4 linked regions of the Rhinolophus ferrumequinum genome follow. The protein of the gene in region 3 interacts with the protein of the main gene of each other region in a pairwise test. Links are inferred from orthologs where the notes say so. Each region holds a gene or a part of one and is shown on either strand. Other genes may lie near its edges. The genes, in order: VAMP4, TOR1AIP1, LMNA and SYCE1.

The links.
Region 1: the proteins of LMNA (region 3) and VAMP4 interact in a two-hybrid assay, tested with the Homo sapiens proteins (2 studies listed by BioGRID and IntAct, with this or other methods). The link is inferred for Rhinolophus ferrumequinum from reciprocal best matches to the Homo sapiens genes LMNA and VAMP4.
Region 2: the proteins of LMNA (region 3) and TOR1AIP1 interact in a two-hybrid assay, tested with the Homo sapiens proteins (2 studies listed by BioGRID). The link is inferred for Rhinolophus ferrumequinum from reciprocal best matches to the Homo sapiens genes LMNA and TOR1AIP1.
Region 4: the proteins of LMNA (region 3) and SYCE1 interact in binary tests that used the Homo sapiens proteins (3 or more experiments, as listed by UniProt). The link is inferred for Rhinolophus ferrumequinum from reciprocal best matches to the Homo sapiens genes LMNA and SYCE1.

Annotation. Positions count from the first base shown.
Region 1 is NC_046305.1:7,488,854-7,496,083, forward strand, and holds the start of VAMP4 (vesicle-associated membrane protein 4), read right to left. Parts: upstream 3,012-7,230; 5' UTR 2,814-3,011; intron 1-2,813. Other genes in the region: METTL13 (eEF1A lysine and N-terminal methyltransferase), read left to right, coding at 3,513-3,665, 4,962-5,721, 6,983-7,182. UniProt on the Homo sapiens protein: Involved in the pathway that functions to remove an inhibitor (probably synaptotagmin-4) of calcium-triggered exocytosis during the maturation of secretory granules.
Region 2 is NC_046305.1:12,610,291-12,617,629, reverse strand, and holds the start of TOR1AIP1 (torsin-1A-interacting protein 1), read right to left. Parts: upstream 3,011-7,339; 5' UTR 2,602-3,010; coding exon 2,124-2,601; intron 453-2,123; coding exon 375-452; intron 1-374. UniProt on the Homo sapiens protein: Required for nuclear membrane integrity. Induces TOR1A and TOR1B ATPase activity and is required for their location on the nuclear membrane. Binds to A- and B-type lamins. Possible role in membrane attachment and assembly of the nuclear lamina.
Region 3 is NC_046305.1:712,269-719,862, reverse strand, and holds the start of LMNA (lamin), read right to left. Parts: upstream 3,009-7,594; 5' UTR 2,754-3,008; coding exon 2,398-2,753; intron 1-2,397.
Region 4 is NC_046299.1:31,905-39,726, reverse strand, and holds the start of SYCE1 (synaptonemal complex central element protein 1), read right to left. Parts: upstream 3,008-7,822; 5' UTR 2,989-3,007; coding exon 2,919-2,988; intron 1-2,918. UniProt on the Homo sapiens protein: Major component of the transverse central element of synaptonemal complexes (SCS), formed between homologous chromosomes during meiotic prophase. Requires SYCP1 in order to be incorporated into the central element.

The sequences.
Region 1 (7,230 bases), about 6.8 Mb from region 3:
AGGTCAATACCTTCAAGAAAGGTTTGATGCCAGCTCCTAAAAGGGTACGACATTATCCTTGGATGTCATGTCTGCCTTCCATTATTCCACGACAGAGGAAACCATTAATTTCTTCTTAAATGTGGAAAACAAACCCATGTGCAAAGAAGACTTCCGGTGTGAAATAGTTTCCAGCATAATATAAACCACTCACTGTACACCAAGGAGAGATTCCCTTCAAATAGTTTTCTATCCCACTTATGAAGCGTCTTCCCTCATATCTTGGACCACTAATTCCAATTGGATACCACCGACAGAATTGGAGAAGGGTGGGAGCCCTTAGGCTAGGCATGCAGGGTGGGGAGACTGGCGTTTCGCTCTGGCTTTGGCTTTTTACTGGTGTAATGACCTCTGAATTCCTCTCAAGCAACAGTTCTACAAATGATGCCTTTCTCCTTCCCTGTTTCTTTCGATAGATTCCCCAGTCATCCAGAGGCCAATGTGAAAGCCATTTTGAGTCCCTGTCTTTTATTCCCCGTATACAATCAATCATGAAATACTTCAGTTCTTCCTGAGAACATCTATCAGTCCTTTCCAGCTGTGACCCTGGTTCTCTACTGGTTCTCTTCCTGTGCCCTGACAGGTTTAATCTAAATGCTGGGAACAGATGACTTCTCAGAACCTGACCTTCACCTTAGTTTCTAGTTTTCTGCTGCTCTCCCTGTGGTCTGCCCCACCACACTCCCTCTCAGGGTTTATGCTCTGTATTAGTTTTCTATTGCTACTGTAGCAAGTTACTCAAAACTTAGTAATACAAATTTGTTACCTTCGTTTATGGAGGTCAGAAGCCTGACAAGGTCTAACTGGACTAAAATCAAGGTATCTAAGGGCTGCATTCCTTCTGCAGACTGTAGGGGAGGATCTGTTTCCTTGACTTTCCTGGTTTCTAGAGGCTGGAAGGCACTTTCCTTGGCTCACGGCCCCCTCCTCCATCTTCAAAGCCAGCGATGCTGGGCCAGCCCTCCTCCTGCCACCCCTTCTCTGGTTCTCCTCCTTCTGCCTCCCTCTTGCACTTTTAAGGACCCTTGTGATGACATTGGGCTCACGTGAATCACCGAGACTAGTCAGCTGCTACGCAACCTCCCCTCCCCTTTGCCATGTAGCCTAACTTATTAACGAGTTCTGTGGAGTATAACGTGGGCATGTTCGGGGGAACGGTATTCTGCCTACCACATCCTCGTTCCCATCTTCTGTCCCCCAGACTGGGAGAAATGCTTTCAATGATTTATTCTTCATTTTGCAATTATCTTAGCAACCATCTATTAATTGAATATTATTATCAAAAAACCTTATGTTTCAATTAAGTAAGGGTAACTGCAAATTATACATCCAGAGGTCTGGATTTGTAGTTTCTAGGGAAAAAAACACAGTATTGAATGGCTTTATCTAAACTCAGTTTGCATTTTAAATCATACCCGTCACCACTCCAGGAATCCTAATAAAACACAGAGCCCTGTAATATCTAATGGGCTTAAATTAACGATATTAATGATAACACACCTATTAATTATATTTCATAGTGAAACCTTGGGAGGAATGTTTCAAATATAAGTATTTTAAAAGACAGAGTCTAATGTTATGTCTCAAGTATTTCTGCAATTTCAATGTTCATTGGATTGTATAAACCCTTGGGGCGAGAGGGCAGAGGCTGCTTGTTTCTTTGGGCTTAGGCAGCACTTCAAGCACAGAGTGTCCTCAGCTCTGGAAAGTGCGTTTTGAAAAAACCACCTCTCACCCAGCAGGAACCCTGCACGACATGGTGGCTGAAGCCACCTCAGAGGTTCCTGCCAGTTCTTATCTTGGGTCGACAGGCAATAATGTGAAGGCAGCAGGTGGTACTTGAAAATATTTTCTTTGCTGTTACTTCTAGAGGGTTTTTGGAGTAACCTTTTAAACCTCTGGAGTTGGAACTAGATCCATTTTGACTTCTCTCAATCATATTTTAAAACTGGTTCTCCAAGTGTGGTCCCTGGGCCAACATAGTGGGTATTACCTGGGAACTTGCTAGAAGTGCAAATCCTTGGGCCCCACTGTGGACTGGATGCATCAGAAACGCCGGGGATGGGACTCGGCAACCCGCTTGAAGAAGCCCTCCAGGCGATTCTGATGCAGGCCCAGGTCTGAGAACTACTCGTGTAAACCAAAGTTGAAGTCGACTTGAACGTGTCCGACCACTGGCTGTCTACTCCGCTGTCTGTGCAGAGGAGGTCTGTGCCAGCCCAGACTACAGATGCTGAATTCTGAGCCTCGCTGCTCTCCCGGCCATGCGCGCCTCCTGCGAGTTACAGCGCTGTGAAAAGCCAACCACGCACACACGCGTTTCAGTCTTTTTAAAAACAGTGCCCTTCACGGCAACTTCCATAGGGTATTGGTATGAGACGAGCATCTGACAGTACCGCATGTTCATTATACACGTAAAATAAGCAGCAGTAACTACTTATAGATGACGTCAGAATGACAGCCGAAGGAGGCAGATCATCAAAATGGGTCTCAAGTTTTACATCCTGTGCCCTAAGGGGAGGAGAAAAAGAGGAGACACCTCTGCATCCCTAGTTGTTATTCTTTTCCCTTGAATTTTCATGTTATTACATGAATAGTGGAACCCTGTATTCTGGTATAGAAAAAGTGCGGTCCAGTGCCATTCTCCAAAGCAAACCTGAATTATACAGATAAAGGGGTTACACTAAGGCGGGGATGTGGCGGGAGAAGCAGACGATAAATGGCGAGGATGCGCAGTTTTCTTTCGCTGTGGACCGGATCCCCTCACTCCTTACCTCACTTCCTTCTACAGGTTTTTCCTCTCAGGAGGCCCTCCAGGGCGCCCGCAGCCGCGCTCCGCCCCTGTGTGGCTCATGATCAGAACTGGTGGAGAGGCCGGCTCAGAAACGATGCGGACACAGAGCCCGGGAAGGCTGCGCGCTCTCAGCCGCCGTTGGAAAGCCCAGATCTGAGACGGCTGCCTTCTCCCTGCGCGCTGATCTGGGCCTACGGTCCAGGCTCCAGGCCATTTCCGCCCCGACCCCTGGGGCCCACCCCCTTCCGTCTGACGTAAACGCTCCGCGCCTGCAGGAAAGCCGGCGTGAGGCGAGCGCGTCGCAGCCAATGAGGTGTGAGGAACGAAAGGCAGTGGCCAATGAGATGCTGGGATGGTCTGAGCGGCCGACCAATCGGGAAGCCTCGCACCCGGATATGATTGCGGGTTCCGAACCCGAGCTCTGAGAAAGTGAGAGACTCAGCACGTGAGGCGGGCGGTGGGTGAGGGGGAGGAGGTGAGCGTGTGATAGGTTCAGTGTCTCCCGCGTGCGGTTGGCGTATAAGGGTCATTCCTTTGTGTTTTGAGTGGGGGATAAGTCAATGTGGCTGCTTGTCCGTAGGAAGAATTCCCGCTGCAGTGTCCTGGAGCCCGCGGGCGGGGCAGCCCCTCCGTTGGTGCCTCCCAGGGCGTAGGACAGTCTTGAAGACGCAGGGAGAATATGAATCTCTTACCAAAGAGCTCCAAGGACTTTGGCTCCGTTGACTACTGGGAGAAGTTCTTCCAGCAGCGAGGGAAGAAAGCTTTCGAGTGGTATGGAACTTACCTGGAACTGTGCGGGGTGCTGCACAAATACATCAAGCCCCGGGAAAAGGTAAGCGCGCCTGACGGCCCTGTGTGTGTGGCGAGGAGTGGGAACTGCCTACCAAGTAATCCTGCACAGAGTAGACAGTGGCAGGCCTGGGGCCTCTAATTCGGCCCATAATTTCAGGATTCAGGCTAAAAGGCAGCTAAGTATATCCTAAAGATTTTCAGATAACAGACCTCCAGCCCCCGCTCATCCTTCTGTTAATAGCCCGACTGGAAGACTGACGTCTTTAGTTAATCCAACCTAGGTAACGACTCCGAGAGAAGGAAAGTGTGCGTTTCTGTCACTGTGCATCGCTGTGAGGCAGGCAGCAGCTGTGGCTTTACTGATACGTGACTCTGTTATCACATAGTTGTGTCTGGGCCGCCCTGAAGTTGTAACAGCAGTAAGATGTAAATACTGGGCACATTCCAGAAGGGACATGTGATAAGTGCGATGGTAGAAGGCTTGACGGGGGTTGTAGTGGAGGTAGGGCAGGAAGGAAGAAGAGTAGAAAGCTAACATTGCTGAAGGAAGCTTTACCTGCCAAGCCTGGTGCTCTGTGTGTGTGTGTGTGTGTGTGTGTGTGTGTGTGTTCGTTCAGTAGTTGCATTTGCATAACAAACTGTGAGGTGAGTGGTGGTACCTGCATTCTACAGATGAGGAAACTGAGGCTCTAAGAGTCAGTTTCTTGCCCAAGATCACACATGTAGTAAGTAGTCACATAGGAATTTAAATTGAGGCCCATCTAGCTCCAAAGCGTCTGCACTTCTCATTGTACCATGCTTTTCCAGAGATTGTGATATTAGGACAGAATTTTAAAGGGTTGATGGGAGATTACACCACAGAGAGGGATGCAACAACCTGTGTTTACGTTTGGCTTCAGAAAAATATAATATCAGGAGGATGAGCCAAAAGTATGAGTGGAGCAGGATTATGCCAGAACTAGGCTTTCAACAGGAAAACAAATAGCAGATTTCAACTGTAACTAGTGCATTTGGATTCTGACTTCCCATCAGTTTTCTTGAGTTAATTAGGTTTGGTTCAGAGAAAAAGAACAACCGTGATTTGTTTCTGCAATATAGAAAGCTAGTTTCACATAACTTACGTTGTTGCTGAGTGTCGTTTTCACGAGTGAGTCCTCTAACCAGTGGTGTTCCACAGTGGGTCCTAGACTCAACTCTGTAATGGCGCTGTGTCCTGTGATAGTAGCATCTTCCCCTTTTGAAAACATGCAACAGCCAAAGCGAGACTAGATTCCTCGAAGCACGGGGAGCTCATTCCTTTGTCACGGTCACTGCCATCGTGTTGGTTTCCCCCCAGGTGCTGGTGATTGGGTGCGGTAACTCAGAGCTAAGTGAGCAGCTGTATGACGTGGGCTATCAGGATATAGTCAACATCGACATCAGTGAGGTCGTCATCAAGCAGATGAAGGAACGCAATGCCAGCCGCCGGCCCCAGATGAGCTTCTTGAAGATGGACATGACCCAGATGGAGTTTCCCGATGCCTCGTTCCAGGTGGTGCTGGACAAGGGCACCCTGGATGCTGTCCTGACAGACGAGGAGGAGAAGACCCTGCAGCAGGTGGACAGGATGCTGGCTGAGGTTGGCCGTGTCCTGCAGGTGGGCGGTCGCTACCTCTGCATCTCCCTGGCTCAGGCTCACGTCCTGAAGAAAGCAGTGGGTCACTTCTCTCGGGAGGGGTGGATGGTGAGGGTGCACCAGGTGGCCAACAGCCAGGACCAGGTGTTGGAAGCAGAGCTTCGGTTCCCCCTGCCTGTCTTTGCCTTCATCATGACCAAGTTCAGGCCAATCCCTGGCTCTGCCCTTCAGATCTTTGAGCTGTGCGCTCAGGAACAGGGCAAGCCTGTGCGGCTGGAGAGTGCCGAGCGGCTGGCTGAGGCGGTGCGGGAGCGGCAGCAGTATGCCTGGCTGTGCAGCCAGCTGTCCCGCAAGGCTGGGCTGGGGAGTCTGTCCCTGGACTTGTGCAGTGGGGACACGGGGGAGCCACGCTACACCCTCCACGTGGTGGACAGCCCCAATGTGAAACCATCGCGGGACAATCATTTTGCCATTTTCATCAGTGAGTTGGCATTGGTCCCTCTCTTCTCTGGAGGGGCTGGGGTGGGGCTTTGGTGGATGGGTATGCCTTGGCTGGTTTTATCTTGCAGGGGGCGGTACTTTGGTTAGACTAGCCAAGGCGCGAGGAAGGGACAGGAGCAGCTCTCCAGCTACCTGCTTCGATTTGGAGCTTATTTGTTCTCATCTTCCATTGCAAAGGCTTGATGAAGTGGGAGAAAGGGGGCGGTAGGGAGAAGAGAGAAGTAACAGATCAAATGAGGGACGTCACACATTGTAGAGATGTTAGTTACTTTGTAACGTGGAGGAGTAATGGAAGCAGTGGATGCAGCTGCCAGACCCGGGGAAGTGGCTGTGCTTCTCTGCTGAGTGTGGGGAGACAGTACAGAGTAATGACTACAAATGCGAGCGCTGGAACCAGACCGTTTGGGTTCCAGTCCTGTCCCAGTCACTTCCTGGTGGTGTGACGTTGGACACGTTACTTTTCTTTTTGTGCTTCAGTTTCGTCATCTATAAAGCGAGAGCGTAACTACCTTGGGTAGTTGTGAGAAGTGTCAGTGCTCTTAGGACGGTGCCTGGCATGTGACAAGTGCTTTACAAATGTAAGCATCGTGATCGAAAGGGGTGCATCATACCAGATTGACCTTAATAATCAAAAGAGAGACAATGAGGGAATGCTTTCAGAAGTAGAAAATGTTAGACGACTAGGCGGTGTCGATATGGTCATGCTCGTCATTTGATGACTGGGCCATTTTCCCGAGGGTTCCGTAATCCCGACTGCCCACCTGTCAGGACGGATAGTGCGCTAGGCTCAGCGTGGAGTCTGGGCGGGGCTGCCTGGTTTGGAGGCCCAGGTTGCCACTTATTAGCTGTGTGAACTTGGGCAAATAATGTAACTTCTGTGTCTCAATCTCCTCGTTTATGCGGTGGGAATAACGATGCTACGTGCATCCCGGGCTCCTGGGAGGATTCGATTCGTTTCCGTTTGTAAACGGCTTGGAACACTGCCTGGCGCGTGATGAGCTTGAGCGCTACTGCTCGTTTCCTTGCGCCAGGTGCAGCCTCCATCCCTTGCCCACAGGCTCCCACTCCTCCGCCCCCTCGTGCCCTCTGGCTGCTTTGCTCTGCACCTTGGGCCCTCGTGCATCGACAGCCCCTCAGTTGGAAGGGCGGGACAGGGCCTGGCTCTCTGCCGTGTGGCTCGTACTGGCTGTGGGCTCGAACACTCTCCCTGGGACCCTCTGTCACCAAGTGCCTGTTTGCAGTCCCCCAGGGTCGGGAGACTGAGTGGCTCTTTGGCATGGAAGACGGCCGGAAGCAGCTGGCGTTGAGCGCTGGCTTCAGGAGGCTGATCACCGTGGCGCTTCACCGAGGTCAGCAGTACGACGGCATGGACAGCATCCAGGCCGAGCTGTCGGCCAGAGTCATGGAGCTGGCCCCGGCCGGGATGCCCGCCCAGCAGCAGGTAAGAGCTCTGGCAGCAGCATTCACAGGTGTCTGGAGAAGTCGTACT
Region 2 (7,339 bases), about 12 Mb from region 3:
TGAAAACGGCGACTGGACTTGGAGCTGAGCTGCGCCCTCCACAACTAGATTGAAGGACAATGACTTGGAGCTGATGGGCCCTGCAGAAACATACTTTCCCCCAATAAAATTAAAAAAAAAACAACAGCAACAAAAACAGGTGTATCTATTGTGCATATGTGAATGAATTAACATATACAAAGTGCGTGGTACTTACGAGGTTCTCATGTATGCAACCTGTCTTTTCTTGACACATTGCTTAATTCAATAAACACCTATAAAGAACATTCACTGAAACTCTGAATGAGGTATGATTTGGGACCCTTGATTAAACAGGCTATAATGTGTATACTAAAGTTGGCAGATAAGGAAAAAACCTAAATCATTTTTCTTACCTGGAGTCTCTTGTGCTCTCCTGGTAGTTTTCATTGAGACTGTTTGGCTTAAAACAGTTTGCGAAGATGGTTCATCCTCTGAAGAATAAATATGACAAATGTCAAAATACAGAACATTTGATCTGGGTAAGAGATTATGCATATTAATAGCAACATATAAGCAAAAATGCAAGTAATTCATTTCTTTAGAAATGTGAAATTAGGTTTACCAAAACTTATAAATTTAACTAGTTAGAAATACTCTTAAGACAAAAATAAACTGTCCATCACTGATGCTTTACAACAAAAGTATATATTACTTTAGAAAATTTAAAAGATGAGCTGGAGCGTCATCAATGATGCAGAAGAGTGAAAAATATTTAGATCCTTATAGTTACAATAGACATAAACCCTTTATGTGTTAAAAAATTAACTTACACAACTGCACTAGGCTCTGTGCAAGTCAATACAATTTAACATATACTTATTTAAATAAAAATATGTGCAAAACAGTTTTCCTGATATTGAAGGAAATTAACATAAGTACTAAAGTACAACATAGTCCTTCAAATATATTTGGTAGGATTTTTGTTTTCAGGAACTTTATAATCTTGAGAGCGATAAAACTAACATCTGTGGCTAAACTGTATTGAGTGAATACACCCTATAGTAACTTACATATTTTTAACAGAAAGTTTCCAAAATCAGCACATCTTCAAATGTGTCAGCAGGTAAACGTGCAGCCTATTCGCTGCTCTACACTGAAAATCCGTGTCTTCTTCATATCCATCAATGGTGTACCTAACTATGTAATCCCACTGTGATTCAAACCCCCTGATTTTTACCTCATAGGTGCCTTACCTGGGGCTAACATGAAACTTCACTTGTGACTCAGCGTTAGATCGCGGTTGGGTGCAAGGTGGGAGAGGATGAATTAAGGGAGTTGGTTCACCTGTGACTCACCTAAACTATACATTCATTTTGTCAGCACCCTTTTCGCCCATGTAGATGAAAACTAAAAAAAAAGTATTGCTTTGTCAGGCTACTACTTAACCACTGAGGTTACACGTAGAGCCCCCAACGTGGCAAATTTTTGGCAGAGACCATCATAGTCGAGAAAGAGCGTTCAGTGCTCAAGTTTATCAGACATTGGGGGCTTCAAGTTCGGGATAACTGACTTACCCCTTTTCGGTGTATGTACTTGAGTGGGGTCTCAAGTCAATTCACCAACTATGCTAGCCCACAAAACGCCCACTCACAAAATTTCCTTCCCTCTCTCCCCACGTGGATAGTGATGGGAAAACACTGGAAGGTCATCTCAGAACCGTTGATTCTCAGCTGGGGACTTTTGGCCTCTGAGTGTCAAAGGAGGAAATGGAAGTGGCTTTGGTAGATACAGCCGCAGGACAGAGAAAACCGAAATGAAACCGACCCCGGAGTCACTCGGTGTCCCGCCTGCCGCCTAACTCGCCGTCCCCTTGTGAAGGACCGCAGAAAGGCACTCCTGACACTCCTAAACTGATGCCCAGGGATGAGCAGAGATCCCCGACTCTGCTCACTGCTCCGCACGACTGACTGCCTTTCCACTCCTCCCACCTGTGCTGCTTTCCCTCCAGCGGGAGGGAGCCACCCCAGCCCCGGCCGGGACGAACTCCGCGGGGACGCCCACCAGCCTCCGAGGCGTGTACACACGCCGCGCCCGCCCGCCCGCTCGCCGCGCTCGCTCGCTCCTGAGCTTGCGGCTGGAGCTGTTACCTCCGTTGGCCTCACCTTCAGAGGAATGAGAGTCCCGTAATCCTCTCCGGGTGGAAACCGGTGACGGCTGTAGCGGAGACTGCGGTGAGTGCTGCTGCTGGGGGCGAGCGGCACTTCGCGTCTTCATCTCCCGGGCTTCTTGGAGTCGCGGCTGCCTCCGCTGCCGAGACCGAAGGTAGTAGGCGCTTTCTCTCACTTCCTTTTTCGCAGAATCAGGCCGGAACTCTTCTAGTCGGATTCGGGTTCTCACCGGGGACTTTTCTTTGGCCACCCGAGGCTCGAAGTCGCCGTACACTTCTGGCGGCTCCTCGGAGAACCTCACTTCCCGCCGGCCGTGGCGCGACGGCGAAGGAGTTCCGTACGCAGGCGCGTCGCTGCTACCGCCATTTTGAGGGGCGAGCCGTCGCCTTCCCTCCCGGATGGGGGCCCTGGGTGTGACGTATATCCCCCATCCTACCATCACCCGTTCCACCCGCCGCCCCTCGCCCGCCATAGTTGTTGACGTAGCTTGAGTCGATAGCGAAGATGGCTTTGACGACTCTAGAATCTCCTGCCGTTGGTGACGACGGCTTATCCGGGTGATGGGCGGTGGTCGCAATGGTCAGGGAGGCAGTTGAGAGTCGCCGGGGCTGCCGCCTGCGTCGTCGCTGCTGTGTTGCAATCCCGCCTCTGGGCCCATGGTGTGTCCGAGGGCTGTGGGAGAGGCAGTGCCTGTGCTGGGTCAGCTGCTCGTGGGGTCACTCCCGCCTCTTGGCTGAAGGCACCAAAGAGGAGGAGAAGAGGGAGGAGGGCGTCGCTGTCCTCGGCCTTGGGGGAGAGGGAGGGGACGACAGAGAAGGGACAACTGGCTTGGCAAATTGCGTGCCCTAAACCCAGCTGCTCGTGGCAACTGTTGCCCGCACGCAGGTGACGCCGGAGCTGGCTCCCAATACCGAGTCTCTGGAAAGGCGGAGGGAGACGGGGGTGGAGAAGTTTCAGTCCCCAGCCCCAGGCTGTTGCGCAGTTTTTCTGGAACCTTTTTGATCCCCTGCTACCTTAGCCGTGCCTGGAAATGTCTCTAGCAGGAGTGATGACTGATAAAGATACATTTGTGTCATCTTTTCTTAGAGAAAATTTTGGTCTCAAGCTCCTTATGAAAGCAGTTACCCAGTTTTAAATTTTAAGTCACCTGTTGAGAGTATAAAATCGCAACTCCCGACATACTCGGGTGGATTCCCATTTGCAAAATACACGCATAGCAAACGTCATATTCCTGGCTTTTGTGTAAAAGCTCTATTTCAGTAGCACTGTTGTGAAAGTTTATTAGTGCTGTTCATGGACAGAGGGAAATGAACAAATTCGTAGGTTAAAGACAGCTGTAATTATAGCTGTGGTCCGTTATTTTTACTTTGATGCTGGACCTGACTGGATACGCTGCATTTGATTTACAGTTTCCTGCGTTTATTTTACTGAATAAGAAAGTATGAATAAGCACTATTTGTTTCACCTCCAAATACCGTATTTACAGATGTGGATAATCGGCAACCAAATTTAGACACACTGAGGGAAGACATTAAGTTAGTAAAAAGTCTGAATAATTATTGAAACAGATTAATGTTATCTTCAACTGCACACTTTCATGGAGGATGTTTTATAATTGATTTTGGTAAATAGATTTTAAAAATTGTGATGATACGAATTAAAATGAAGGATTCTGAAAATTTTGAAGGTATTTAATTGTTTATGCTTTCAAGTATTTTAAATCACCTTAGAATGCTTTTGAGTAACTCATTTGCTCAAACTGGGCACAAATTTCGATTTAATGAAATGTTAAGATGTACTATGTTTTCACTAATATATTTGGCCATATAGTATTTGGTCACAGACACAAGGAATTACATACTTTAGAGAATCAGGTTTTAGCCTGTTAGTTTAGTCTAGCTTTGTTTGGTATATAAAATATAGCCAAAGAAACTGGAGGAACAGTGACAAGGGAGATACTACTTTAAAAAAAAAAGTCTTTTAAGGGAAAACTAAAGGCATATTCTCCCTTGTCAGCCTGGGTTAGATAGTATATTTGGAAAATTTGTGGGACTTACTTTCTGATAAAATGTTGAAAAGTACTGGTACTTGCTTAATACCTGGGTTTTATTTGTTTTAAGTCATGCTTTATAAGGTGCTAATTATATTACTCATTAACATATGGTAGTAAAAGTTCTGTAATGTAATTAAGAGATATAAAATTATAGTATTAAAGTACAAAGTTCATATTATGAACTTTAGTGCATATATTAAAAGCCTTTTTAAAACATCAGAACAGGTGACTATATAGAAACTTGGATATAGACTTGTAAACTTAGGTTTGGGGGACATATTAAAAAAGAGAAAGGACAAGAGGTTCTACATATTATTGACTCATCAATCCATGTGTAATAATACATAATCCTAGCTCCGTCATACCTGCCTTCCACACCTAGCAACTTTACAAATACCAACTTGCATCACAAAAAGCTGAGGCAAAGCTAAACTCTAGTCAAACTAGATATTCTGCTGTAAATGTTTTCCAAACTGTAGGGATGTCCAAAAGAGGTGACGCTGCAGAGACAGTAGACTCACAGCCACTATTATAAGGGAATTGCTGGGCCACCAATACCAAGTGGAGGCATGAGCTCTGGGTGTTAGACAATTACTCTGGGAATGTGAGATATATAGAGTAATTCAGTGAATCAAAGGAGAAGACGGGTAAGAGAAGAAAGGATTATAACAAAGAATTATAACACTCATTAATTCACATATTTATTAAACATCTATGTTGGCACAGAATAGGTGTTTAATAAATATATGGATTAAATTAATGAGTTTTTTTAATTATTAAAAAATTTTTTTTAAATGAATGTATTCTTTATCCCTTGGGAATTTGCCATGTATTAGGGAGACATATACAAACAATTATAATTCAGATTAAATGACTGGCAATATACCTAGCTGTTCTAGGTCTCAAAAATCTAGTGTTCTTGACACTAGATTTCAAAATAAAGCAGCTATTTTAAATGAAACATTTTAAAATCATTTTTGTATATGAGTTTTTTAGGGTAAGCAGAAATCCAGTTATATACACTGAGGAGTCATTTATCAATCCATTGTACATGGTAGTCATATTTGTGTGCTCAGATAAGCAAGTCACTTTGGGGTTATATCCTAGTAGAAAGCAACAATGTTATTTTTTTGAAGCTATATATTTTTAAATTTTTCTGTTACACTTTTCATTTTCTGAATTTTCTACAATGAGCATGTATTTATAATAAAAATACTAATTTCTTTGAAGGAGGAAATAGTCAAGTGTCTTAAACTATTTAACTTCCTGTTCCTTAAAGTGAGATATTAAAGCACTTTAAAAATACAGATAAATGCTTTTTTCACAGTATAAAGACAGTGCCCAAATAAAAGGTTTAAGAGGAACTTTGTATTTGGAAAGGCTATATTAAACTAGAATGAAGTATTATGAAAATTTTTCTTTAACTCATTCATGCCAGAAATAGCACTCCTTAGGCATAGTACAATTCTCAGCTGTTCCTATCTTTTAAGAATCTGTTGAGAAGAGATTAGTAAAAAATGACAAAATAATAAATATACCAATGCATGATTACATAGCACAAACCTGAGAGACAAGTGGCCCACGTATTCAGTAATGGGGTAATCAAGATAGAGTATGGATTAGGCAAAAGATTATTATAGGAGAGATTTATTTTCAGAATTAAAACATTTTGGTATTTATTTCAGAGGAATAAATTGTTGTAAAGATGAACCCCTACATGCCTGATTAATTACAGCTGGAATTAAACACATGAAATTTTGGCATAGAGCAGGTAAGGAAGTGCTTCTTTTCATTCCTTTGAAATTTAAGAAATTACTACTTTTAAAAGTGATTTAGCTAGGTGCCATGTGGTATCCTGGATTGAACCCTGAAAAGAAAAGAGATTAGTGGAAAAACAGGTGAAATCTGAATGAAGTCTGGAGTTCAGTTAATAGTAATATATCAAACGTGTTGGTTTCTTATTTGACAAATAGTCTATAGGAATGTAAGATGTCAACATTAGGGGAAACTGGGTGAGGAGTACAGTAGTATATGAGATCACTTATTTTTGCATCTTTTATGAAAATCTAAAATTATTCAAAATAAGTTAATTTTTAAAACAGTGATTCACAATTATCTTGGTACATTTTAAACAAATATAAGATTTATCATTTATTGGCCACATTGATGTAGTATTCATATTTGCAAAAGCACTTACTTACGAAATTAATCAAGTGATGTCCAGACTCCTTTCTTCTGTTAAATACATTTTTAGTCTAAACTAGAAATGAAAAGTTTTGTAAAAATTCTTTATATGCTGTAAAATCATATAGAAATGGAATGTTATATTTATTTGTAACTGTAAATTAGTGACTGGAAGAAGTTCACATTTTAAAATAAAAATGTCTCTTTTCCAAATAGAATAGCATACTTATAAATTCCAGCAATTTGACATAAAAAGTGTACTGACTTTTCTCAGTACACTTAAACTTTTCAGATAAAATACATAAATATAGGAAGAAGTCAACATGTTATTTTTAATAAGGAAATAATGATTAAAATATTAGGAGGAAGGGAATGAAAGACATAGTAGCTGGTTCCATTTATTCCCCATTCTCACGAGTGATAGACAAAATATTTTGAAGACTGTTGATATAAATGAAACTGGCTAGCTGGAAGTGTTATACTGAAATTAAGAAAATTTAAACCCAGTATAATATTCTTCCACTTATTCTTTGTTGAGTTAGAAATTGCAGTCAGTTACTAAACAGTATCTAAGAATGTTCATAAGTCTTTTGACTTCTACCAAAAGAGGAAGATTGAGAGGGGAATGTATCAAAAACCACTGTTAAATGAAGAATCATTAATCCAATAAATATTTGAGCCTCTGCTATGCACTAGCCAGACCCTGTTTTAGGTGCTGGGGATACAGCAATGAAAGAACAGACCAAAAGACAACGCTCCATGCCTTCTTGGAATTTATATTCTATAGGAGTCAGATAAAAATCAAAATAAGTAAAATAGGGTGTGAGAGTGTTTTGGAGAAAAAAATGAGGAAAGGGCAAGTGAGATTTATGTGTGTAGGCTTCTTCTATGTTGTCTTGAATTGGTGTAGGTCAGGAACAGGAATTTCAGATTTACAGTTGGCCCTTCAACAGGGTAGGGTGGGTGGTGTTAG
Region 3 (7,594 bases):
GCGGGGAGCAGGGGGAGGGGCGGAGATGCAGACATTCAGGCCCCCATCCCTCCCTCTGAGACATCTGCTTTCTCCCACTGTCTCTTGTAAAGCCACCAGGGCGGGAGGGAGGGGGGCAGGCTGAGTCACCCACCCAGCTGTCTTGCCTGGGGTGGGGCCCTGCTCCAAGCCTGGACCCCAGGCAGGCCTTCCCTGTTCTCCCTACACTTAGGCTCCAGGATAGAAAGAATGTGCGTATGTGTGTTTATGGGGGGAGTGTTTCTGCTTGGAGCCCACAATCCAGCTCAATAAGAGGGCATCCCAAACCCCTGGGTGTGGTCGAGGTACCCAGGCCGGACCACAGGAGCTTACAGACAGCTCTGTATCCCAACACAAACCTTGACCTGAACTTGGAGCTCTAATTAAACACCTTCTCTCCAGGTTTTAGTGGGAGAAATTGGGACAAGACGGGCCTCTCCTCCTCTTCCAAATTCTTCATTCTACTCTTCTCCACCTCACCCTGGGCACAGCAGATGCGAAAGGGAGCAACAAATCCTAGCTCCTCCCACTGGGAACATAGAAGGTGACTGTCACCCCAGTCTGAGCCTTCTTTGTCTCCACCCTGCCGCCGCCCATCCGCCTAGGATCCAGGTGTGCAAATCCACCCCCCTTTGCCGGAAGCCCAGCCTCCCCAGCCAGGATCAGTGGGGGAGAAGAGAGGCAGGTGGCTAAATATAACATGTACACACGCCACCCCCGCCCCTACCCCACGTGTGCACACCCCCGCCTGGTGTCCCAGGCCTGGACAGCTGCACCAGAAGGCAGGGGAGACAGACTGCTGTGGCTGGCTTAGCATGGGACCAAGCCTCCACTCGTGCCGTTCCCCCATCAGCCAGGAAAGCCCTTCGCTGGGATCTGCGAAGGTGGTTGAGTGGACAGGTTTCCGACACTGACATTCTCTGGGACTCCCCAAGCTTACCTCCTGTCTGTCCTGCTAACTAAATCGTCCACATCACTAGTGAAAAAGACAGGAGCGACCCCTTTCAACAGGAATAAAAGCCCATCTCCCCACACGACTTGCAACTCACTACTCTTTACAAGAGATGAATCTGCCACACCTACGACCCCTGGACTGGGGACTGGTGAAGGCATGTCCAGAGAGCTAAGAGCAAAAGTTTGGAGAAGATAAGGGGAAGTCAAACCACAGGGCCCCCACAACCACAGATCTGCAAGCAGCATTAGTTCTCTTTGGTTTAGGTCTTCATGGTGAAAAGGGCAGTAGACAGGAGGAAACCAAATTCTTGGGGGGCTGAAGAGGGGCTAAACTTCCAGGCTCCAAAGTTCTTTTTAGAAGAGGGTGGAGTCAAGTAGGGTGGGGTAGGGTGGGGCCAGGCCGGGATGGGTGAGGGAGGAGTGGCCTAAAGCTTCCAACGGCTGGATTTCAAAAATGTCACTGTATTCCCGGTTTATTAAGGCCAAGACCAAAAAAAGTCAGACTGAGAGGATGGGACAGAGCAAAAGCGGCTGGGCCTGGCTGGGAAAATGAAAGTGGCTCACCCCAAGGGAGGGAGACCGAGAGGGACAGAGTCCTAAACCCTCCAAGACACCAGGCAGAGGGCGGGGAAGCTGCCCGCCCGGGCAGCCAGACCTGGGCACAACACAACTTCCTGAGTGGGAGCCTCTGCCTCCCTCCCTTGCATTCCTGGGCCAAGCAGGCCAAGGGCTGTGGGAGCTGCGGGGGAGCCTGAGCTGGGAGCCACTCTCCTGGAGCTGTTTGGGGGGACTGTCAGAGTCCAGAGAAGGTCCCAGAGATGCAGTGAGTGAAGGAGAGTTTCCCAGCTCTTAGAAAGAACCCGGATAGGGTCGAGCCAAGGGGGCCACCTCCATGCCCCTGCGGTGGGGGGTGGGTTGTCACCCTGCCTTGGTGACCTCTCTCCAGCACCAGTGGACATATGCCAACTTGGGAGTTTGTCTTAGTGGACCTCATGTATTCAGACCCAGGCTGGGCAAAATGGGCACTGTGCCAAGCCTGCCAAGAAAGTTCTAACTGGACCCTTTCACCCACTCCAATGTGTCCTGCAGTGCCCAGACTTCTTAGACTTGGTGGGGTCAGTTCTGCTTTGCTCAAGCCCCTCCCGCCGCTCCAAATGGCTGGCAAACCTTCCTGACTGAACGGGCCTACCACCAATCCCTCCTTGGCCCTGATGCCCTCACCCTTGGATACCCATCTCCCAGAGACCCCTCCCTTCTCTGTCCTGTCCTGCCGATTTCCCTTGGCACTGCCAGTCACCCGCTAGGGGCAGTTCCGGGGAGGGAGGAGACTATATGGCAAAGTTATCAGCCGCCTGGGGCCGGGCAGGGGTGACCAGTCTGCCCCTCCGCCGCCACCTGGGCGTGCCGCCACCTGGGCCCACTCACCGCGCTTTAAGCTCCTTAAACTCCTCGCGCACTTTGCTCAGCTCCAGCTGCAGGCGCGCGCGCTCCTTGGCCACCGAGTCGAGGGTCTTGCGGGCATCACCGAGCTCGGCCTCGTACGCGGCCTTGATGCCGGACACCTCGCGGCTGACCACCTCCTCCGACTCGGTGATGCGAAGGCGCAGACCTGCATTCTCCGTCTCCAGCGAGCGCACACGGTCGATGTAGATCGCCAAGCGGTCGTTGAGCTCCTGCAGGTCCTCCTTCTCCTGCAGCCGGGTGATGCGGGTAGGCGACAGCGGGGTGGAGCTGGCCTGCGCCCCGCTGCGGGTGGCGCGCCGCTGGGACGGAGTCTCCATGGCCGGCAGGGTGGCAGTGCTGCCCGCGGGGCAGGGATCCCGGGAAGGGCGCGGGGCTCGGGACGAAGGACAGAGGCGGGTCGGGGCCGGGGCCGGGGTCGGAGCGCGCCGGCCGGCAGGCTCTCAGCTTGCTCCTGGCAGGCGTGGGGATCTGGGCCCGGCGCTGTCGGACGTGGGATCCGGGTTGGCTGCAGTGGCTGCGGCGCTCCCGCGAACACTGAGTCACCGGCGACTGGGCAAAGGCTCTAATAGGTCCTGGGAATGGGAGGAGGGGCCACTGCTCTTAAAGGAGCCGCCGCATACCCGTGGGGTGGGGGCGGGAGTGGCGAGCAGAGCAGAGGACAGCCCAGCTCGGGCGGAGTGGAGCCCCACCCTCTCCCTCGCACCTCAGTCTGCCCCGGGCTTCGCTGAAGCTCGCGTTTTGGTTCCCGCTTGCTCAGCGCTCCCGGCTGCAAGCCTGCCCCCACTGCCTCAGGCCTTGCGGGTAAAGGGCAGAGCCAAGGGGTGAGATTGGGTGGGCGAAAGGTGGGAGTGGAGGGAGAGGGAAAGTGGATGTAAAGCAAGGGAGGGCGCTAGGCAGACAGATCCAGGAAAGGGGAGGGGGGAGGGCTGAGGCTGGTGCCCATCAGGGTGACTCACTCTTCCACCACCAGCTCCCCCTTTCCTCCCCATAGTAATAGTGAGTCACCCCTACCCCCCCCACACACACGTGGGCAGCCCATTCAAAGTTGCCATCTCAGAATGCCAGGGTGGGGTGGGGAAGGAATCCCTGGGGGCACACAGCAAAGTTCCAGATTCTGAGGTCCATCCCCTGACCACCTTCCTTTGGACCCAAGCAATTGGGAAAAGAGGCTGTGTAGGTCCCTCCCCCTTCATCCCTCCTACCGCTTACCCCACCCTGCCAAATCCAGGGCTGTACTGATTTTTTTTCTTTTTCCAGGACTGTACTTATTTTAATGGATAATTTAAAACAGATACCAGAGCTGTGTGTGCACTCATCACGTTGCCAGGACATCAGGTCCTAGATTTTTGTGGTTCCTGAAGGGGCCTGAAAGTGGGAGCAGAGCAGGGGGCTGGATGGCCAGTGGTGAGTCTCCATCCTGGTTTCATCCAGAAAGGGGGTAGTGGGGAACAGAGACAACAAAGCTCCCACAACCTTGCTGGATGCAAAGGCCAGCACTGCACTTATCTACATTCCTGCGCAGCCAGGTCTACTTTACAGCTGGCTCTGGGGAGGGGCCAGGCCCTCGCACAAAACAGGATCACCCAGGTCCCCAGGCTCCCACCCCAGGCTCCACAGCCTCCATCCTTGGGCCTCACCAAGGACCCCTTTGGTCAGTCTTCCACTCTCATCCCCTAATCCTGGCTCTGGCCCCACCAACCACATTATCTTTTCTAAGAGGTGGCAGAGCTGAGGCGCTGGAAGCCATGGGTGCCCTGCCCCTGGCATCCCACAACTTATTCTGAGGAGGAAACAGGAAAGTTAAATTATGTTGCTAGCTCCTACAGCTCCAGGACACCAGGATTTCTGTAATACGCAAAGGAAGCAGAGTTGGTCAGGCCCTCTGTTGTGGGTTCTGGAGCTGGCCTCAGATGGACGAGAGGGGCTGCAGTAGGATTACAGCAAGAGCTCTGAGTGTTTAGGGAGGAGCACCAGGAAGGGCGGGGATGCTCAGGTTCCCAGCTCTAGGAGGGTACTGGGCAGTGCAGAGCATCCAGGATGCACACATGTGAGGGACCCAGGACTCGGCTACCTCTCTCCTAGGGCGTGGCACCCACCCTGGGCTCCCCAGACGAAACAGTCTTGTTCTGCTTCTCCCTCTTCTGTTTCCCAAACTGGGAGCAGAGGAGGGGGTGGGAGAGTCAGTGAAATGTGAGGGGCAGGGCTCCCGCAGTCCCACTGCCTCAGCCCCCCCCCACACTCAGAGCCCCCACTCTGCCCCACCCAGTCCCCCGCCCGGTCTGGCTTCCCCTCCTGGCTGGGGAAGCAAAACCACACTTAACTCTTCCTATCCCGGACCTCCTCATCTTTGGGGAAAAGAGGCAGAAGAGAGGTGGGAGGAACCCCACCCCAAATTTCACTCTAGGCCCTTTCCAGAGTCCCAGTTTCCAGGGCCTCACCACCACCAAAATGACCTCAATCCTAAATCTGAGCTTCAAAGCTGGGCTTTCTCCTGAATACTCAGTCCTAACTCTGGATCCCCAGTACAGGTCCCCAGTCCCAGAGAAGCCGGAGAAAGTGGAAGAGGCCAGTTGAGAAGACGGAGCCTGCTGAGGGGTGCGTGGCAAGTTGGGACTGGGTGGACCCCAGGTCCCAGTCCTGCCGCTCCCCTACTATGTGACAGATAATACATCTGCTACTACTTCTCTGGGCTTCAGTTTCCTCATCTGGCCAGAGTGGCTACCAAGACATGGGGACTGAGCTACTCTGCTTGGTCTCAAGGCAGTTGCTCACTGGTGGGAAAAACATAGGAAGAGGCAAGACCAACCACAGTGGCTAAAGGGCAGTATAGGACCCTGACCTGGCAAATGAATTCCAAATGGGTTCCAGAAGCCTGGGAGCTGGAGCATAATCAGAACACAGTGGTTGAGTCCAAGGGATGGTTTGGGCAGTGAAGGAGCTCTTGTCTTGAAGACCAGTGACCTGGGAGGGGGGCCCTCCAATGTTTCCACAGCATCCTGGGCCTCCCTCGAGGACCCTTCCTCCCAAAAGTGCTGTGGGGACAGAAGGGGCCAAGTCTTGGTTATCTGTGTCCCCAACAACGGGCCCAATGCCTGGCGCACAGGAGGCGCTCAGTGTTTTGAAATGAACAAATGCATCTGGCCCTGCCATTTTCAGGAGAGTGACTCTGGGCAAGTTACTGCATTTCTTTCAGCCTCAGTTTCCTTATCTATAAAATGGGGATACTGCATTGATTAAGTTACAAGCATTTGAAGGGAAGGTCCTTAGAAGAAGTAGAGTGAGGGACTTTATAGAAGTGCCTTATATAGAGATAGAGAATTCACTCATCCAACAAATATTTATTGAACACCTACTATGTGCCATCCACTGCTCTAGACACTAGGGTACAATAGTGAATAAAACAGACAAAAATCCCTGTCCTCTTGGAGGTGACATTATAGTGGAGGGATATAGGCAATAAATACACAACATTACAGTTAGTCAGAAGGTGGTAAGCACTATGACAATAAAAATATAAAGCGGGACCTATATGCTTTCACCTACATTCTCAGGTTGGTCCACAAAACTACCTCATGGGTCGGAGCGTCCCCGTTTTACAGGTGAGGCTGACTTTCCCAAGACTAGACAGTAAGTAATAGGCCAAGCTCAGACTTGGACCAGGCAGCCTGGTCCAAATCCAAGATGTGCTTCACTATCTCATGCCACTTTGGCGGGAGGCGTGGGAGGTGCTGGGGTGGACTGGGGCCCAGAGGAAGTCTGGACACAGGCTGGGCAGAGGCTGGGCAGAGGTGAGGCGGGGAAGTGTGCGAAGAAGGGCAGGCCGGGAGACATGGAGAGGAGACAGGAGCTGGGGCTGCATGCGATGGGGTCTGAGGGGTAAGATTCTGGCTGCTTGAGAAGGCTGGGGTCAGGAAGGAGAGAAGAGGGGCATGGAGACCAACAAGCAAGGACGCAGAGGCGCCGGCCTGGCAAGAGGCAAGGCAAACGGAGTGGGCTTAGCAGAAGGATGAGACCAGGAGGGATTCCAGAGGCAGACTGACTCATGCAGGGAGTAGGTATGAGGACCTGTTAGCCCTGTTATCGGACAGTAGGGATCCGCGTTCCCTTGTGGATCCTACACAATAGCTCTACAAGGTACATACCCGCAATTAGCCCCATATGACCCACGAGGAAAGGCGTTCTTTTAAGGCAGGGTCTCTCTACTCTGGCTCTATTGATACCAGATAATTCTTTGGTGTGGGGAGTGTCTGTGCACAGGGGGATGTTTTGCAGCATCCCTGGTCTCTACTCACTAGATGCCAGTAGCACCTCTGCCCCTCAGGACAATTGAATATGTCTTCAGACATTGCCAAGTGTCCCCTGGGAGGCCAAATCTCCCCCAGTTGAGAACCACTTGTCTAAGGTCCCATGGTTGAGAGCAGAACTGGAATTTTAACACAGGCTGTCCTGACTGAATGCCAAGATGGTACCCTCAGGCTGTAATCCTGGACAGGTGGGGTGGGAGGGAGACCTCAAACGGGTCCTAGGCCATTGGGGAGCCAGTTCTACTCCCCCATAGGGCTGGTAAGGGGTGACTTTTGGAGGCGGGTCTAGGGAATGGGGTGATTTGGAGAGTCAAGGCCATGGTTTGGGAATGCCTTTACTGTGACTTAGTTCTTGAGGGAGGGTCCCTGTCTTGTTCATCCTTTGATCACAGGGTCAGGACGAAACAACTGTTAAAGTGCTGAGTCACTCATGCCTCATGCACAGGTGATGGTCATAACCTTGAAAGTGGAAGGACTTGCCTGTCCTTTAGGTGGCTGCCATGTACCAGGCACCGGGCTAGGGGCTGCCTGGAGGGCATCCTATTTCATTTTCACCTCAGCCTTACTTATGAGGTAGGTAGGATTATCTGCATTTTATATGCCAAGAACCCAAAGCTCCGAGAGGTTGAGTGATTGGCCTGAGGTTGCACAGCAGAGTAGACTGCCTTCTTCCCACCCAGACTCAGCAAGGAGGAATGATGCAGGTTCAGAGCGATTAGCTCAGTTTAGCTCAGTGGAGAAGGCTCTTAGAAGGAGCGGGTGATCAAGAGCCATTTGTAAAGCCAGAGAACCCCTCATCTCACCCGTAAAACCCAACATACTAAATGACAGAGGCAAAGTCTCTCTAGTAGTAA
Region 4 (7,822 bases), on a different chromosome or scaffold from region 3:
AAGATATGTGTACCTCTATACCCCTTGATCACTGCAACATTATTCATGGTGGCCAAGACATGGAAACAACCAAAGTATCCTTTGATGGATGATTGGATAAATAAGATGTGGTACACAATGGAATACGATTCAGCCATAAGAAGAAATGAAATATTGCCATTTGCGATAATATGGATGGATCTTGAGTATCAGGCAAAGCAAAATAAGTCATACAGAAAAGTTGAAAACCGTATGATTTCACCTATATGTGCGATATTAAACAGAAAGCAACAAACAAAATAACAAAATAAACAAACTCATAGACAACAATATGGTGGTGACTGGAGGGGGAGGGGGTGGGAAGAAGATAAAGAGGGTAAAGGGGGTCAAATATATGGTGAAGGAAGGAAGACTAGACTTTGGGTGGTGAGCACAGAATGCAATATACAAATAATGTACTGTAGAATTGTATATTTGAAAGTTATGTTATTAACCAATGTCACCGTCATTTTTGTAAAAGCGTGAAACAATCTGAATGCTCAAACAACCTCAATGCCCATCAGTAGAGAACTTATGATTCATCCCTGTAACAGAATACTATGTAGCCAGTGAAAAGGGGGTCAATACACATGTACTAACCTGGAAAAAGATCCTAGATAGCTTAAAAGGAAAGAAAGTGTAAACTGGTGTAGTACAGAATCCGACATGGCTACAAAAAGAGATGAAAGATATACCTGTCAGTCTACAAATATATGCATATCATGTCTAGATTATTTCCTGCCAGAATCACAAAAAATTTTCAACAGTAGTTACCTCTGGAGACTGGGGTTGGAAAGACAGGAGAGGTTTACTTTTCACCATGTACATTTCTGCATAAGGTTGCATCCTTTAAAAGTTAATAGATTTCCCTGGGTGAGTCAAAAATGACTTTTACAGTTTGTTGGGGTAACCACTTTTCCCCCCAGTATTATTAACAGACCAGTGACCTGTACCTCTGTTTTGATTCCCTATTGCATATCTAGTGCTTGTCATAAGGTAAGGCATACAGCGGGACAGTAGTAAATATCTGTAAAATGAGCCAACTTGTATCTCATTAACAAGAAAGCTAGGGCACAAAACAGCCTGTATAGTGTAAGCCCCCCTACTTTTGACTTTTTGAAATAATTTCAAATTTACTTAACAGTTGCAAAAACAGGACATACAGCTCCTATATATCCTTCACCCAGATTCCCCATTTGCTAATATTCCTAACCCTTGAGAATGAGTTGCAGACACAATGCTTCATTACCCTATAATACCCCAGGTGAACTTCTGAGGTACAAGGATACTCTCCTATGTAGTAACTGCAGTACAACAATTAAAACTCAGAACATTACAATAGATATTAACCTCTGATTCTCTAATGACAGTTAACAAATGTGCCCTCCTTTTAAATTTTAAAGTTCCACAAATAGTAACTATAGTCCTATTAGAAAAATCCAACAATAAGATTAAAAATGTTCCTTCACTTATGCCTTCCCCTCAAAAAATCCAAATCCCTTCTTCAATCATCAGTTAGTAAAGTAGCCTTCAGAGAACTTTCTCTGCAACCTATACAGTGCTCTAGATATAATTTTTCCATCTTGCTTCTTTCATAAAAATATCCTTTTTGCATACCATGCTGTTATCAGTATAGAGAGCTGATAATTTAAAAATTGATTTGCCTGAATTTTAATTATTTTCCTTCCTGTTATAAATCCACTGTACGTGTGTTTCCCTGTGTGAATGGGTGTATGCGGATCTGGCCATTCCCTCCCCGTGTTTTCCCACCACCATCCTGGCTCCAGTGAGTACTCTGTCCATGCATCGCTGTGTTTTCCGTGATCCCCCAGGAAGGTGACTGAAAAAGGAAAAAGCAATTTAAATGCTAAACAATTCTGCAAGACGGGCTACTGCAAAGCCTTTACCTATTAATCTTCCTATCAATTCACTCTGGGAAAGTCCTTGTCTCCATGGTGTCACTTGGTTGCTACAGAGTGAATCCTTTCAGCCCCCCATTCACATGTTGAAATCCTCACCCCTGTGACGGGATTAGGAGGTGGGGGGCCGAGGCCGAGGGTGGAGCCTGACGAATGGGCTCAGTGCCCGCATCAAAGAGGCTGCACTGAGCTCCCTCACCCTTTCCCCACGTGAGGGCAGCGAGGAGAGCGAGGGCGGCAGACGAAGCCCGGAACTGTGAGAACTACCGAGGCTCCGCTGATTGCAGCACTTTATCAAGACGGACAGATGGACCAAAAACAAGCGCGGGGACAGGTACACAGGAGTTCCTCGTACAATTCTCTCCACTTGCCTGCGTTAGAAAACCCCCCTGAAACATCCACGAGCAAATCCTTACAGGGGTGGGTATGGCTAGGACAGAATTTTTTTCCTCTTTGGGCTGTAATTGGGAACTTTTAAACAATTAAAATAAACTGCACGTCCCCCCCTTGCTTGGGGAGGTGGGAGCCATCCCTCAACAGGTCGGTGTGAGGAGTCGGTCTGGTTTTGGGGGGAAACAATCCACTGGTCAGAACAGGGAAGTTCAGAGGTGTGAGATGAGGACAATGGGGACTTATTCGTTCCCTCAGGTGTGGCAGACCCAGGAAAACGTGCCTTTCGTGTTTCAGAGACGCTTGAGGAGATTCAGGTCGAAAGGATGTTCTGTGACAATTTTAAGCTGTCTGAGCAGAAAGCAGGGGAAGCAAACATGGCAAATACGGCGTGAGTTACACGTCGGAGGCGGATGTGGGTAAGGACCCCACTCGAGGGAACAGTCGACTTTCCCTCAGAAGGCGACGGTCCTTTTTCCTCACTACCGTTCTGACGGAGACAGAGGCCGCCCGCGCACTCCCTGCCCCGCCCCGGCCTGACACCAGCCCGGTTCCGGTTCCGAAGCAGGCCCTCGCCGGGCCCCAGATTACCTCCAGCCTTTTCTCCCCGGTCCGTGGTTCCCGAGGGCTCCGAGCTCGAAGGCCCCGGCCTCGCCGCCATTTCCTCTCAACCGGCTGACGCACTGGCGTTGGGCTCCTCCGCTGGGATTGGACTAAACCCGTGCCGGGGGCGGGGCGTCCTCCCGCACGCCTGCGCAGTGCAGTGCTCTGTGCGCCGCATTCCTCCGGAGCAGGCGCGGAGGTAACGGTTGGACAAGCGCCAGTGCGCATGCTTAAAGCTGCCGTAACCCAAAGTCAGGGCACAGGAAGCGAGGGCCGCGTGCCTACTTCCGGGCTTGCGTCGGCCTGTTGAACAGTCTGATCTGCACAGTATACAGGCTTCTGGAAGGGCCACCCTGACTCGACGTCTCTGGCATTGCAAAAAGTGCAACTTTGAGGTGCGTTTGAGAGCCGAGTTCGATTCCCATCTCTGCCTCTATTACTCACTGCACACATCAGTTATTTCCCGTGCCAGCGACGACTCCGGGCTGGCATTCTGGAGCAAGACCAAGTGTGTTGTCAGCCCACCTGACTAATCTTGGTGGATCTTCTTGGTTGGATGCAGAGGAGAGTGCAAGAGTAGACGGGGACCCTCGTCCCTCCGAGCTTGATCCCGAGTCTGGCCCTGTCTCCCCGTGGACACGTCCCCACTGGAGGCGTGGCCTGAGGGGGGGGTTCTGCAGGGAGGGCAGGGGGTGCAGGCATGCCCCGCTGGTAGTGGATGAAGGATCCTTCCCCGCCCATGCAGCACGGTGGTCACCCGGGGCTGTGCAGGTGGAGCCCCGAGGTGGACGCGAGGCTCAAATGGGCTTCTGCTCACCTACCCCGTCGCCGGGCTCACTGCCTCCAGGAATCCCGGTTTCTGAGGAGACAGTGCCCGGGGCAGCCCCAGGCGGGTGGATCTGGGTGCAGGTGGTGCAGATGAAGTGTCCAGCCCGTTCACTGCACACAAAGCCAGTTCTGAGACATTCCAACCACAAGGAGCAGTTTTGAGCACTGCGTGTGCAGAGCCCTGCTCTACGAGCCAAGTCTTCAGTTTTCTGTTGCTGGACACTGGCAGTACTTATAATAAACAAGAATGAACATGTATTTAATGGGTGCTTCCTGTGCGACAGTTCGTATTCTGGTCATGGTGGAAGATTATTTCATTTGATCCTCTTTCCAGCCCGACAATGGCCAACCTGCCTGGGCTTCCCCTCACTCACTCTGCTCTAGCCAGCAGCCTTCCTCAAAACAAACAGGCTTAAACTCACCGCAAGCCTTTACAAACGTCACCTCTACCAAGACTCCCTTGCAAATAGTCAAAGCTTGAATTGTCACCTCAAGGCTAATATGCCTTCTACAAATCAATGCCTCCCATGATATAGATAATGTTATGAAAAAAGTCAGTGTTAGGATTAAGGGTCAAAGTAAGGGTCTGAGTTGGGGCCAGGGGAAGGGTCAGTGCGAAGTGGTGTCAGAGGCCAGATTCAGAGTCTCCTTTCATCGTTAGGATTCGGAGACAGGATTAGTGGCTGAAACATCCTTGGCTTGCTTTCACCATCCTGATGTCACAGCCACTCACATAAGACCTAGCAGTCCAAGCCAGGCTTACTGACCAAACCACAGCAGAGTAGACCATCTCTTGCCGACTATGGTGGCTCTTCTGGAAATGAACTGACCTAAGCAGGAAATAAGCACACCGAAGTTTCAAAGACCCTCAAATCCAGAACCAGTCCTGTGATACAGACTGCAGTAAGGGATAGTGGTAGAGTTAGGGTTAGTGTGCTAGGGATATCGTGAAAGTGAGGGTGAAGAATCAGTGTCAATGCTAGGGCCACAGTCAGGGTCAGGGTTTAGAGTTTAAGGGTCAGTATCAAGCATCTAGGGCCCAGAGTTAGGGTTGTTTGGATTTAGGGGTAGAGGTTTAAAGTTATGGGGCCGGGGTTAGGGTTTGGTTTAAGCCTCACCGGCCCACTTCCCCCTCCACATTTCATCTCTCTGAGGTTTCCAGGAAGGGCAGGACGTACCCAATGTCACACATGAGTCTAGTTGAATGGACCATTAGTTGTCTGCTCCCCGGTCCTGGGTTCTGCTAATAGAAGAATGAAATGTGACTCTGGTCACTGTTTCAAATCCAACTCAACCTCAGTCTAGCAGGTTCCCCACCCTCCTTCCCACTGCAGAAGGGTTGGTGGGGTCTCCACTATGTCCGGGCAGCCCCAGATTCTAGCTCAGTGATGACACACGAGGGCACTCAGTAGACACGTGTGGATTTACACAGGACTGGGTACAGCGACCTGCCAGCCTCCAGGTGCAGCCTTTCTAAGGGCTGGTGGGGCCCTCCTAGGACTGGCTGGATCCTTCGTCCCATCCGAATGGGCAGCAGGAGATAGTCAGGTCTCAGGACAGCCCTAGGCCTCTCCTCTGACCTGCCAGGGAGGCATCTGTGGTCCTTAGCAGTCTCCACTGGGTGTCTTCCCGCCTTGTGCTAAGGAGTTTATGCCTAGGTTCTCCTCCTAAACCAGGTCTCCATCTGAATCTCTTAGGCAGGAAAGGCGGAGGGTCAAAGGTTCTTTATTAGTCTTGTTTCTTAACAATCAGCTTAAAGTCAATGTGTCCAAAGGCAAAACTTTTGGTCCTCTTCTTCCCGCCTTTGAAACTGTAATAAAAGTTTCACATCCAGAAGTTAAATTGGTAGATTGTCCCATATTTCATTGATCTAATCACTCAGTCCTGAGAATAAGGTAATTTAAATTGTTGAATCTTATTGCATGATGCAGTGATGTAGATATACTCCCAAATTTCACCTTTTATTAGATATCTGATTACTTGTTTAGGTGGGGGAGGAAGAGACTTTCCTCTACCCTCAAGCTTCTTCTGGCTGATCTGATAATCAAATAGACATGAGACAGATTAGCAAGAGAATATAAGCAGATTTAATACATACACACGGGAACCCTGCACACAGGAGAGTCCGAGACCCCACATGCAGGAGAGGTAGGAAGATAGGAAACATGGGTAGCTAAGGCTTCCTGAGCTAGGGATGAGGTAAGGTCCGTTGGGGGCTTGTAAGAGTCACTGTAGGGTAGTGACAAGAGCAGATGTTTCATGAATATCTTGAATCAAATCAGACAAAGACGGATGTTGACAGAGATTGAAGGAGAAGGTCAGAGACAGAAATAGATGGATAATGTAAGGTGTGGGGTGCTGAGCTGCTGCCAGCCCACAGTTGATGACTGTGTGTATGGCCTATGGATTTGGGATCTCTTGGGGTGTCCTTGGCTGACTCTGCACTGTTTTCCCAGACTCCATTCTGAGCAGCCAGGAATCTCTTGTCAGATGTGACCTCAGAGGAAGGGAATATGGGGGAGAAGCAGAGCTGTGCCGTGGGCTGAGGAGGAAGAGATTTTAAAAGGCCCGAGCACAGTCATCGCTCAGCTTTGGGGGAGTCGTTGTCACAGGGATCTGGTGCTGCTTGTCCTCCCCTGAAAGGCCAGGCCACCACCTCCCTCCCCACCTGTCCCCATCCCCAGCTGCCTGCCCTGGTCCCACTCCAAAACCAGCCTAGGTGAGTGCATGGCAAGCGGGACCATGAGGTTATCTGCTTTTCTTCAAATACAATGACCGAGATTCCACCCAACACTGCAAGGACTATTTGGATCACTCTGTCCAGAACCCCATGTGTGCAAGCTGGCCCATGTGGGCCCATGTCAGCCTCGGTTCTGGACTCTGAACTGTGTGTGTTAGAATCAGTCTTCATTTTAACTATCTGTGAAATGGAGATAGTAATCGTCTCTGCTGCATCTGGAAAATGGGAGCAGTGGGTGAGATGAGGCCTGTGAAGGGCCTGGAACTGGATTTATTTCTTAGTGAGCTCAGTCCCAGGGGCCTGGATTTGCATAATGAGCAAGCAAACGCTCTTCTCTGCTGCCATCTTGTGTGAGGTTTAAGAATGACACCTGTTTGTCACCTGGAAAAGGTATTCTTTGCTGTCATCTTGTGTGCATCTAGGGAATAACACCTGAGTAAAGGTCATGAAAGGCTCTTCATTCGAAAGTCTTCTTCTGAGCCAAGGTGTCAGACCCAGGGCTATGCCCCAGGTACAGTCATCTGTGCCCTGGAGGCTGCCTGCTGGAATGTAGAGTCCTGGAGGTGAAACCTGGCACTGGGCTTGGCACACCTGAATTAACTGCCTTCTAGCTTGGCTCTTACTTATGCTGCCTTATGTCACCCTCCCTGCCAGGCTCCCGACCTTCCCCAGGGCCATTTTTGAACTCCCAGTGTGCTTAGAGAGCCTCTGTAAGTCACCACATCTGGGAGAGTGCGGTTCAAACCAAAGATTTATTTTGCATGTAAGAGAGGCAGCCCAGGAGGACCAGACCAAAAGGAACCCAGGTCTGAGAGCTGAAAGCCTGGGTATGGAAAGACCACAGGGAGGCCTGCATGGGGCATACTGCAGCCCCCAGGGAGAGCTGGGGAGGCAGGCTGTGGTGGGATCCCAGTCTCTAGCCTGGGCACTGAGGTTGAAGGGGCCTTGGGGACTCCACTCCAGGTGCAGCATTTGCCGGGGGAGCTGAACACCAGACTCCTGGGGCAGCTTTGCTGGAACAGCCTCCCCCCTGCACAGCTGTGGTAGCTGGACCTGTCTGGTGGGTTGGGGTAGAGTCCCTCAGCTTTTCCCTGGCATAAGGTATCTTGTCCAACGCTGGTGCCACCCTCAGGTCCAGAGGTCTGGCCTGGTGTGGGAACTCCAGTCCTTGGGGATCTACGAGCTTATGTGGAAGACCTGGGAACACAGTGCAGTCAGCCAAGGATACCCCGAGATATCCCAAACACATAAGCCACACATCAGTCAGCAACCGTGGGCTGGCAGCAGCTCAGCACCCCACACCCCACACCCCACATTCTCCATC